Linked DNA regions of Xenopus tropicalis. The main gene of each other region encodes a partner of the protein of the gene in region 2 in a complex. Links are inferred from orthologs where the notes say so. Each region holds a gene or a part of one and is shown on either strand. Other genes may lie near its edges.

What was found. Proteins that work in one complex are often made in the same cells at the same time.
Region 1: the proteins of sin3b (region 2) and phf12 are in contact, whole or in part, in a cryo-EM structure (PDB 8BPA), measured with the Homo sapiens proteins. The link is inferred for Xenopus tropicalis from reciprocal best matches to the Homo sapiens genes SIN3B and PHF12. Residues at the interface, in NP_056075.1 of Homo sapiens: Glu307, Phe311, Leu318, Glu322, Val323, Tyr324, Glu325, Asn326, Leu328, Arg329, Cys330, Ile331, Leu333, Phe334, Asn335, Glu343, Leu347, Pro350, Phe351, Lys354, Phe365, Lys395, Arg396, Glu490, Glu493, Leu494, Val497, Tyr545, Arg546, Ile547; in NP_001028733.1 of Homo sapiens: Leu20, Met21, Gln23, Ile24, Gln25, Leu27, Leu28, Pro30, Pro31, Lys32, Thr33, Asn264, Leu266, Val267, Leu269, Val271, Val273, Phe275, Thr276, Asn278, Arg279, Ser280, Arg282, Cys292, Pro293, Leu294, Pro316, Asn317, His318, Ile319.

What each region holds. Positions count from the first base shown.
Region 1 is NC_030678.2:33,929,978-33,934,840, reverse strand, and holds the start of phf12 (PHD finger protein 12), read right to left. Parts: upstream 3,334-4,863; 5' UTR 2,807-3,333; coding exon 2,753-2,806; intron 1-2,752.
Region 2 is NC_030677.2:111,954,463-111,959,434, reverse strand, and holds the start of sin3b (paired amphipathic helix protein Sin3b), read right to left. Parts: upstream 3,258-4,972; 5' UTR 3,185-3,257; intron 3,172-3,184; exon of another isoform or gene 3,035-3,171; intron 985-3,034; 5' UTR 830-984; coding exon 752-829; intron 1-751.

The DNA.
Region 1 (4,863 bases), on a different chromosome or scaffold from region 2:
TAGTTTTAATGAGGGTAAACATTTCATCCCCCACCCCTTGCAAATTTCTCATATATATGACCTCGTTTTAAGCTTTTATGCTCACAAGAAAGGCTGTTCTTTCAGGTCTATCAAGAATAGAAAATATTCTTCCCCCATGTCAACTGGACTGAAAGTTGGGCCACACAGTAAGGTAAGGCCCACACAGCATGGCAAGTAGAACATCTAACTGACCTGATCTACACTGACTTTTAAATTACATCAAGAAAGAAAGACAAAAAGCACCAACGTACCAGATGCTAAATTGTGCTGTGATTCTTTATCAGCTAAACCAGCTTATCAGATCCTTAAGGTGGCCATACACCAGCAGATCCGCTCGCTTGGCGATGTCGCCAAGCGAGCGGATCTTCCCCCGATATCCCCACCTACGGGTGGGCGATATCGGGGAGCATTTAGGTAAAAAAAAAATAATCCGATCGTTTGGCCCTGGGGCCAAACGATCGGATTATGTGGGCGGCAATGGGGCAGTCGGATCGGGGACCGCATCAACGAGCCGATGCGGTCCCCGATCCGACCGGATTTTCTAACCTGGCCGATCGAGATCTGGCCAATTTCAGGCCAGATATCGGTCGGCCAGGCCGCTCTGCCCTGCCCATACACGGGCCGATTAGCTGCCGAATCGGTCCAAGGGACCGATATCGGCAGCTATAGTCGGCCCGTGTATGGCCACCTTTACCCTATAAAAGGTGACATGTTCTTGCACACCAAGCAATTTGATTATGTGTGTAGGAAGTAGTCACATAAAGCAATTTCTTTGGGCCAACCGAGCCAGCTAACACATTAAAATAAGTCCATATCTCTCTCCAAGGAGGTACAAATAAACCACTTCACTAGACTCAGATGTTGGGGTTGCAAATGTAAATGATTTCTTACTTTTAAACTACGGTAGCTGCAATAGGTCTGAATGGAATTGGTGACAAAAAGGCTACAACCCACATATTTATAAATAACTACACTGCAGACATTAAATGCAAACTTTTCCTACAAGACAGAACAATTCTTTTCACTTTATCCACCCAGAAAAATACTGATGATAGGATTTGTACTTCATCAACACAGATTGCACAAACACCTAATACGTCTACATTTCAGCGCCTGTTATTTATTAGATGTAGTGCAAAGTAATGTTAATATCTGCCATATCACCCTTACGCAAACTGTCTTTATATTTCTTTTAATGTCATTGCTGTGGGCCTGAAAAAAAAAAAAAATAAATGAATGGAACTAAAATCAAATACATAAAGTGTCTGGAGTCTAGGGCATTCCAAGGGCGAATCAGAATGTTCCTTAGTAAATGTTAAAAATAATATACAAATGAGCATAGAACGGCACCAGGTTTAAATATGTAATGCTTCCTTATAGGTAGAAAGCAATAGATATTGAGTCAAGAGCAAGGCCGCTAGTGTCATACCTGCTAAAACAACTTATTGAACTTTATGTATAAGCGCTACAGAGCTGCTCAGAGTCCAGTAACCTAGAAGCATGCAAAACAAAACAAAAAAAGAAACATTCCAGTAGGGCTGGGCGATATACCGTTTAATACCGAATACCGGTGTTTTTTTTAAAAACTATAATAATTTTTCAGATACCACAATACCGGGGTGTCAGGGTACTCACCCGTGCTGCCCGGTCTTGCGTGCGTCCCGTTGTCCGCGGGACGTTGCGCACGCGCGTCCAGGTGCGCGTGTGTCAAAGCGCACATACATGTCAAAGCGTGCACGTCCGCGACTCACTGACGGCGCCGGTTCTGCGCATGCGTGGGGGTATTTAAAGCTATCAAACGCCTCCTCCTGTGCTATGTGGGAAACTAAGCCTGCCTGATTTACCTTACGACTTTCTGTTGCCGATCCTTCGCTTGCCTGACTCTGATTTTCAATACTGCAGTAATTATTCTCTAATTTATTAGGAAATGGGGTTAACACCTAATCATGCATGGAAAAAAAAAATACTGTCAAATACTGTGACACTGATATCATTTTCAAAAATACTGTGATATAAATTTTTGGTCATACCGCCCAGCTCTACATTCCAGCACATTTAAATATGAATGCACACAGCATGCCCTGGACAAATGACACCCACCGCCATTACTGGGGAGTTCAAAGAGGATTTCCTCCCAAAAACTTTTTTGCATAATGAATGATATTGTTCTAAGCAACTCTACAATACAAAGCAATTAAAAACATTCAGGGTTTTTGTCAATGTAATTGCAGCTAAAAAGTTACATCTCTGCATTCTGACTCTTGAAACAACAGGCCAGGTCTCCAGGCCTACAAGCCGGCAGGGTTTCTGCTACATTGTTACAGGAGTCAGAATCGAGCAGGAAGCACAAACCGCAAGGCAGATAAAGCTTCCAGTAGCAATTCCACTCACAATAGGATTAACCAGTGAAACTTTTTAATTACCGAACATGGGAAAGTTGCTTATATTCACATTCCTCTCCATTGTGCAAAAGCAAAACAGTGGTTTGGTGGGGATCCCCTTGTGGGGATGTATGTATGTATAAAAAGATACATACATACAAGGCCTGTAAGGAGGTTCCCCAGTGGTGGTTCAGACAAGGCTAACTGGGAGGTACTGATCCACACATGTAATAATGAGAAGGCATAAGATAAGGGTTGTGGCTGAGCAGCAGCTGGGGCTGCTTATCAAACTTTAGCTGTCACTCAGGAATTAGAAATGAAATGATTAGGTTTCCCAAGCCCCCCCTTACCTCCATTAGACCCCCAGAGGTGTCCAGATCGTACACGATGGTTTTGGTCTCCATGTTGATAGGGGACTGGCGGGAGCCCCGAGTGGCGAAGCCAGATGCTTATTGATCAGAGACAGAGATGGAAGTAGCAGAGCCGGGGAGCAGAGGCCAAAGCAGGAGTGAGACAAGGCCTGTGCTGGCGGCGGGGCCCGGGGAGAAGCCGTGGAGCCCAAAGCAGGGGTGGGACAGGCCGAGTAACGGTGCTATTAATCCAGGGAGAGAGGCAGGAGAATGCTGCGGGCGGGAGGGCCGCTCCTGCACCCTCAGGGGCTCCTCGTTGGAAGGCAATGGCGAGAAATAAAAAGAAGCGGTCAATCCCTGCTCCCGGGGATGTGGCGAGGCCTACGAAGGGCCTAGCCGACCTGCCGCCGGTCTCTCATCTCCAGGGTACAGTGGGTAAAAGGAAGCGAGAAAGCTCCGGCCATGGCGGCCCAATTCGTAATGGGGAAAAAAGCGCTCCAACCCAGCTGTGAAGGAAGAGGCGGGAGGTCGGTATGTCGCTATGGAGGTAGGGCTCCCTTCCGTAGCTGCTTACGTGCGTCTTCCCCCTCCCCCAGCGGCGGCCGCGCACTTGGCGCAAAGTGACTGCGCGGGAGACAGCAGTCTGCGCATGCGCTAATCGGGTGGCGGGGCCAGCCACTCGCTAGGCTGTGATGGAGGGGGCGGGGTCAGCACTCGCTAGGTTGTGAGGGAGGGGGGACGGGCTAGCCAGTCACTAGACTGTGAGGGAGGAGGGACGGTGCCGTCACAATGTATGCGCAGCGCGTTTTCGTTCCACGGAGGAAAACAATGGACTGTTTTGGTGCGCTTCTGAGCATGAGCTCTGTCGCTCATTCTGGTGCCTAAAGCAACATGGCGTACGCGAGCACACGGGCGCCATATTGGAGGTGGCAGAGAAAGATTTCGTAAAATAAAAATAAAATGTTTGGCCGTCACACATCTTTTTACATAAACATGTTACGTGCGTTATTCTTGTTTAGTTTGTTTATTTCTGCTGTTTAAACAGAGTTTTCTTTGTATGCTGTCACAACCATGACAGCCGGCACATCCATTCTCTTTGTTAGCTGCGCGCCCAAAATTGTCTTGAATGAAACGAGCAGGAGGATTCCTTCGGCGCTTAATATGCGTCAGAGCAGTCCGGCGACACAATCTAGAGCATGGCTGCTGCTGCTGCTGCTACATTACACTAGAGTGGAGTGTCGAACCACCGCTACAACATGATTCTTTACGTTATCGGCAGCCACTATTTCATTTCCGTCCAACCCTTGCTTATGTCTTACGAATGAAAAAAAATCTCGCGTTTGTGGCATGTTTATGTCCTCTCAATAAAGTTGGTTGAAAAAAAAGACATTGTTCGCGCAAATCATTGAGTTGTGCGCTCCGGAAGTCTGCGGTGGCACTTCCGGTACAGAATTTATGTGGGAGAGGAAGAGTTTGTGTAACTGTGTAGAGCAGATATTGATACAGGAAATGTAAAAACGTGTTTTTCGACTATTGTTCGAATGTGATGGCATGGTGGTAGTTGTAGTTCGTTCCTTTTACGTCGTAATAAAAAAATCTGAGTAACTGCTAAAATCCCGAAAACAGGTACAATATTGCACACGTATATTACATAATATGAATCGTGAGTGAAAAGCATCATGGGTGGCTATAACACAAACATCAGAATGACAGACAATTTTACTAAAAATCCTGTATCATCGCTGGGCGTTGAGTAGCAGGCATGCCTGTTGCTATAGGATCTCTGAATAGCAAATCCAGCATCTAGAGCAGGGCTTGTGTGTAAGGTTCTACAGTGTTAGCCCCCCCCCCCCATTAATTAATTTTTTTAATAAGGTTTTATTTTCTTATGGTTTTGGGAAAAAAAATTACCAGCTCAGGACACCAACATCTTACCCCATTTCAGACATATGTTGCATAGACTTGTGTATGTGCAGTAGGTCAAAATGCATATTTCATGGTGTCAGTGCTAGGGATGACTGGGAAAGGTAAGAAAATAGTACTGTTTTCTTACCTTTCCCCTTTCCCTAAAAGGATCAATGGCCCAGGGGATAAAAAACAAAGCAATTGGA
Region 2 (4,972 bases):
ACTAATCTATTCCTTGAGATAAACTTGGCAAACTGAAGCTACTCCATATTTGGTCCCTGCAAGTTAAATAATTAGATTACAGGAAATCTTACAAATATTTTGCCTGCATAATGGACTTTGGCTCATTTGTGCACTGGTATTCAAATTATCTAACATGCAACTAACTAAACATGAGGTAGCTTTGGTTTCCCTGTTTAGCTAACAAAAATAATGTAAAGCATAGTTTTTTTTTTTAGATTTCAACAACAGTATATTCAGTAAGTATACTCAGCACAAGTCCTATTTGTTGCACTTATGTTGACAAGTGGGTATATTGTTCTTTAAAGAGGAGAATATCAAGTGTTTAGAATGAATGAACGCATGACTTTGGGGTAAAAGAGACACCTAAGGCTAATGCTACATGGGCAGATTCTTGGCATGCAGATAAACGCACCTACGCCCAAAAAAAGCTTTTGAATGTGCCTACACCAGGAGCCATTGCACCAGCCCAGGTACAGGCACACAGCAGAATTTGGCGCAAAACTGCACAAGGGGGCATTATTGCACTGAACTCCAACATAATGGCTCTGGGTGAAGGAACAACCAAAAGCTTTTTTGGAGTGTAGGGGTGGATTCTCAGGCCGAGAAACCACCCTGTGTGGCACTAGCCTAAAAGAAGGACGCACAATATCATGTCTTGAGGTATCAATAAGGTAACAATGCACACACATCTATGATCAATAGGAACAAACTGGTTGCTTTCTATACTTACATGCACTGGGAGTTTTTCTTGAGGTTTGCTCCAGTTTGAATTTGGCTTGCAATTACCACCACCTCCACCACTCGCCATTTTTTTTTTTTTTTTTTTTTAATTTGGTACAGTAGTGAAATGGCTTATTCAGAAGAAAGTCTAATAAAAGGCTTAAGCACTTGGAGTTGGGGAAGCATGATCCAGCACTTGCTTCAGAATTCCCTGTGGACACCAGGAACAGCTGCAAATATTTCCTAAAAAGAGAAAATAGAAATGTAATTCATCTTGCACAATTAAAAAATACTTTTTCATGTTTTAAAATGATCATTTTCATTGATAATTTTGCCCAGGATTTCATAGTTTAAAACAAAATAATTAGTTAATAGAGATACAGACATTTACAAACAAATTTATAGAAGAGCCAAGAGCAAGTTAACACCTGTTCCATCAAATCAATACTTCTACAAGCTTGAAACACAATGGGCCTTATTTATGGATGATGGACAAAATAGGCACTTTGCATTTGAGGGCTAAGGGTAATGTCTCATGGGGAGATTAGTCTCCCACGATAAATTTCTGCTACAGCAGGCGACTTCTCTCTCCTTTCCACCGGCAACAAAGTAATTTGCCTGTGGAAAAGCGTAGGTGCCTCTTCATTTTCTGATGTTGCATGAAGTTGCCTGCATTAGCCTTAGTATGTTGCTATTCTCAAAGATTTTATCTTATCTGTTTTTTTTTTTTTTTTTTTTATGGGCGATGGTGATGGCAGATTGTATCAGTGCCTTTAAGTACAATGGTCTTCGTTTGGGTGCTTAGGGTGAAGACACAGGGAGCTACTTTTAGCAGCTACTTTTTCATGGCTACTAAACACCAGAAGATACCCTGCCATAGACAATGCTGAGAAGTGCCTAAAGGTGCCCATACACTATAAGATCCGCTCGCTTGGCGATGTCGCCAAGCGAGCGGATCTTCACCCGATATCCCCACCTACGGGTGGGCGATATCGGGTAGCAAGAAACTTAAAAAAAAAATACATTTGTGGTTATGGGGCAGTCGGTTCGGGGACCGCATCAACGAGCCGATGCGGTCCCGGATCCGACTGGATTTTCTAACCTGCCCGATCGAGATCTGGCCAATTTCAGGCCAGATATCGGTCGGGCAGGCTGCTCTGTTCTGCCCATACACGGGCCGATTAGCTGCCGAATCGGTCCAAGGGACCGATATCGGCAGCTATAGTCGGCCCGTGTATGGGGACCTTAAAACACATGTAGATACAATTATCAGTAAATGGTCAGCATTGTCTACTTTAGTAGCCACGACAAGTAGCTGCTACTAGTAGCTCTGTGTCTCTTCACCCTTAAACTTGATGGTATAGCCTATATTTCAATAGTTTCAAGCATCATCACTGCGCCCTCCCTCCTCCCTCCCCCCCCCCCCATGGCAACTGAATAGTCTGCTCAGGTATTTTGGGCTCAAGGCAATCATCCTATAGCCCAGAAGCTGTATTTAAACAACAAATAGGACCTCTGACAGCCTTTGGCTTATGGTGGGATCATGCTTTTTCTAGTTTAAAAAACAACACCTATATATACACACAAAACATTTTCCAAAGGTTTAAATACCTAACCAAGCAGATTTCTTTGCATCGTCAAACAACCCCTTTTTTTTATCTGAATTGCTTCTAAGGGACTCACATCCCTCTAGCAATTAACAAAAACACATCTCTGCCTCAGTTATTCTAGTTTCACCCCATGGGCACCAGAAAGAGCATCTTCTTCTTGCCCGAGGCATATGAAACTGCCAGTAGACCAAGTAATGAGCCATTTTATCAGGGGTGGCCGTAACACTGTCATTTTTTTTTTTTTAACAACCTAAGGAAAGCAGATACAGACTACATTGGAATACCCCCCTCCCCCTAACATGCACATTGTGTACCCATAATAAGGTATGCTGATGAACAAGATAAGCAGCACAAGCCACTATGTATGTGATGGGGGCTACACACAAAAATGATGTTGCAATGAGGGAGACAATAAAGATATATAATGCTACAGGAAAAGGAATGATCGAGTTATGATGTAGTCAAATCCCTTTAGCACTTTACAACAACGGGTATGATAGAAGAGCGCATTAGAAGTGACAGGAGCAGATTAGAACCTGGATATTAATTAGAATTGGGTCACGAAGTGAATGGCAATAGACGCGACGCTGGAGCGGGATGTTAGACGAGCTGACTGATAATACACAGCACACACAGAGAGACAGGAGAAAAGTACGTGTAATTTTGTATTTCTGCCGACTGGCCTGGTTTATCATCGCGCCCCTTTCTCTATTTCAACCCCGAACGAGTAAATCATTCGGCTTCAACGCAGTCTTCAACACCGTGCGGATCCAGCCCACCCTCTGCACTGCAATCAAAGCTGAAAAGGATGCTGAGACATTTGAATTATTTACCAAGATTGAGCAATGGAAGCAACGTCCGGTGATACATGAAGGAAGGTTTCCCATGATCCGTACCTTGCGTGCGCGTTCCAGTGCGCGCCCACATATTCCGGGCGGCGGGGACGCACTCGGCGCAACCATCGCTCTTAACCATATTCTAACGCTGTGAGAGTGAAGGGCCTGCTGTGATGTCAAGATCACGTGATTTGGCGACAAGGGGGGGGAACTCGGCTAGGGTACTGGGTCAAAAAAGGGCGGGGTTAATTCCTCTGGAAAGGAAGTAGGAAATTATGCACGCAAGCGGGACGCTCAAATTAATGAATGAAGTTTTCAGCTCCCTCTAAAGGCATTTATAAACTGCAAAAGATCGGTCCACTTGCGTATTACACATATCCAACTATACTTAGTGCGGAAAGCATTCCAGCCAATCAGTGAATAGATTTCTTCCCGGCTGACTGCGGGCAATTCAATTAAAGCAAGCATATGTTGCTAAGGGTCAGTGCCCAGCAGGTGTAGATTTGCCCAGTGTTGCTTTATGTCACTCAGTTTTATTTATACTGTCAATGAGCAAAGTAGTATGTGAGCAGTAACCTATAGCCAAATACAGCAGGCTTTACAAAGCTTTTAACAGCTAGGTGTGAACCCTAAAGTATAATTATTTGGGTAAAAATAGATTGGGGAAAGAGGTCCAAAATCTGTTAACGTCCAGGAAAGTTGGATGGGGTTGACTTGACAGCTCTGTATCATTGATTGCTATGGTACATTGCTGTAGTGTGAATATGACAATAACTTAGAATCCTAATTGGAGCTGTATTCAGCTTGTTTTCGTTTGCTAAGCACTGGAAACAGTTATAATGTTTAGGGAAGCTTGTAATTGTATGTCAAACAACCAGCCTCAACCTGTGGTATTTGTGCTTAGTAATAGCTCTATAATCATGGCTTAAATAATACAGCTGTAGAAGCAGGCATAGATTTGTGGAAAGGCCTGGGCCTAGGGTGGCACACTATGCTTCCACGTCTGCACTGGGTGCCCAGTGCTGCCAGTAGGAGCTAGCGACTGAGAGCAGGATTGGGAGTGGATAGGTTCAAATGAGCATGCACATGTCTGTGGCCTGTATGTGTGCGTGGGCTTGTTTCAGTGGGCTTTGGCAGCTGGCTTAAGGGTATTCAAAAATCCAGTCCCATGTAAAAAAAATCCATAGATTTGGTTTGTAAAAATAGGTTTAGAGTCCCAGGCTCTCTCATCCTCGACCTCCCCCTCTCCTCAATTGGCATATGCACAAAAGTCTACAGTTCAACGAGCCGATGCGGGGAGCTACCTTCTGAGTATCTCAACACGCCTCTTGGCAGCAGCGCCCCTAGTCCAAGACTTTTATTATGGACTTACCCAGATCTGATATAACCAATATTTTTATGATAGTCAACAGATGTTCGAAATGGTTCATTTTGTTCCCTTCAAGAAGCTTTTTTTTTGCTGCTTCTTTCTTAGCCTAATCTGACCAAGCACTTAGTATCCTGAATTCTTCCCAGCCTATTGGCAGATTTTTGCTATTATATTAAGATGTGCAATAAATTAATCTATTTATTTCATACACACTTCCGGGGGCACTGGTGTTTTATCCTTATTGATGTTATATATGCACTCATGACACACATGCTCGGTTTTTCTAAAACACACACATCTTAGTGATCTGACCTGGCTAGTAATGCAGAATATTGATTGGAAACAGAGGTGAGGATGTGGCTGGGGAATGTGCATGACATCTGATCTGTCTTGTCTGATCAGTTTAGAAGAGAAGT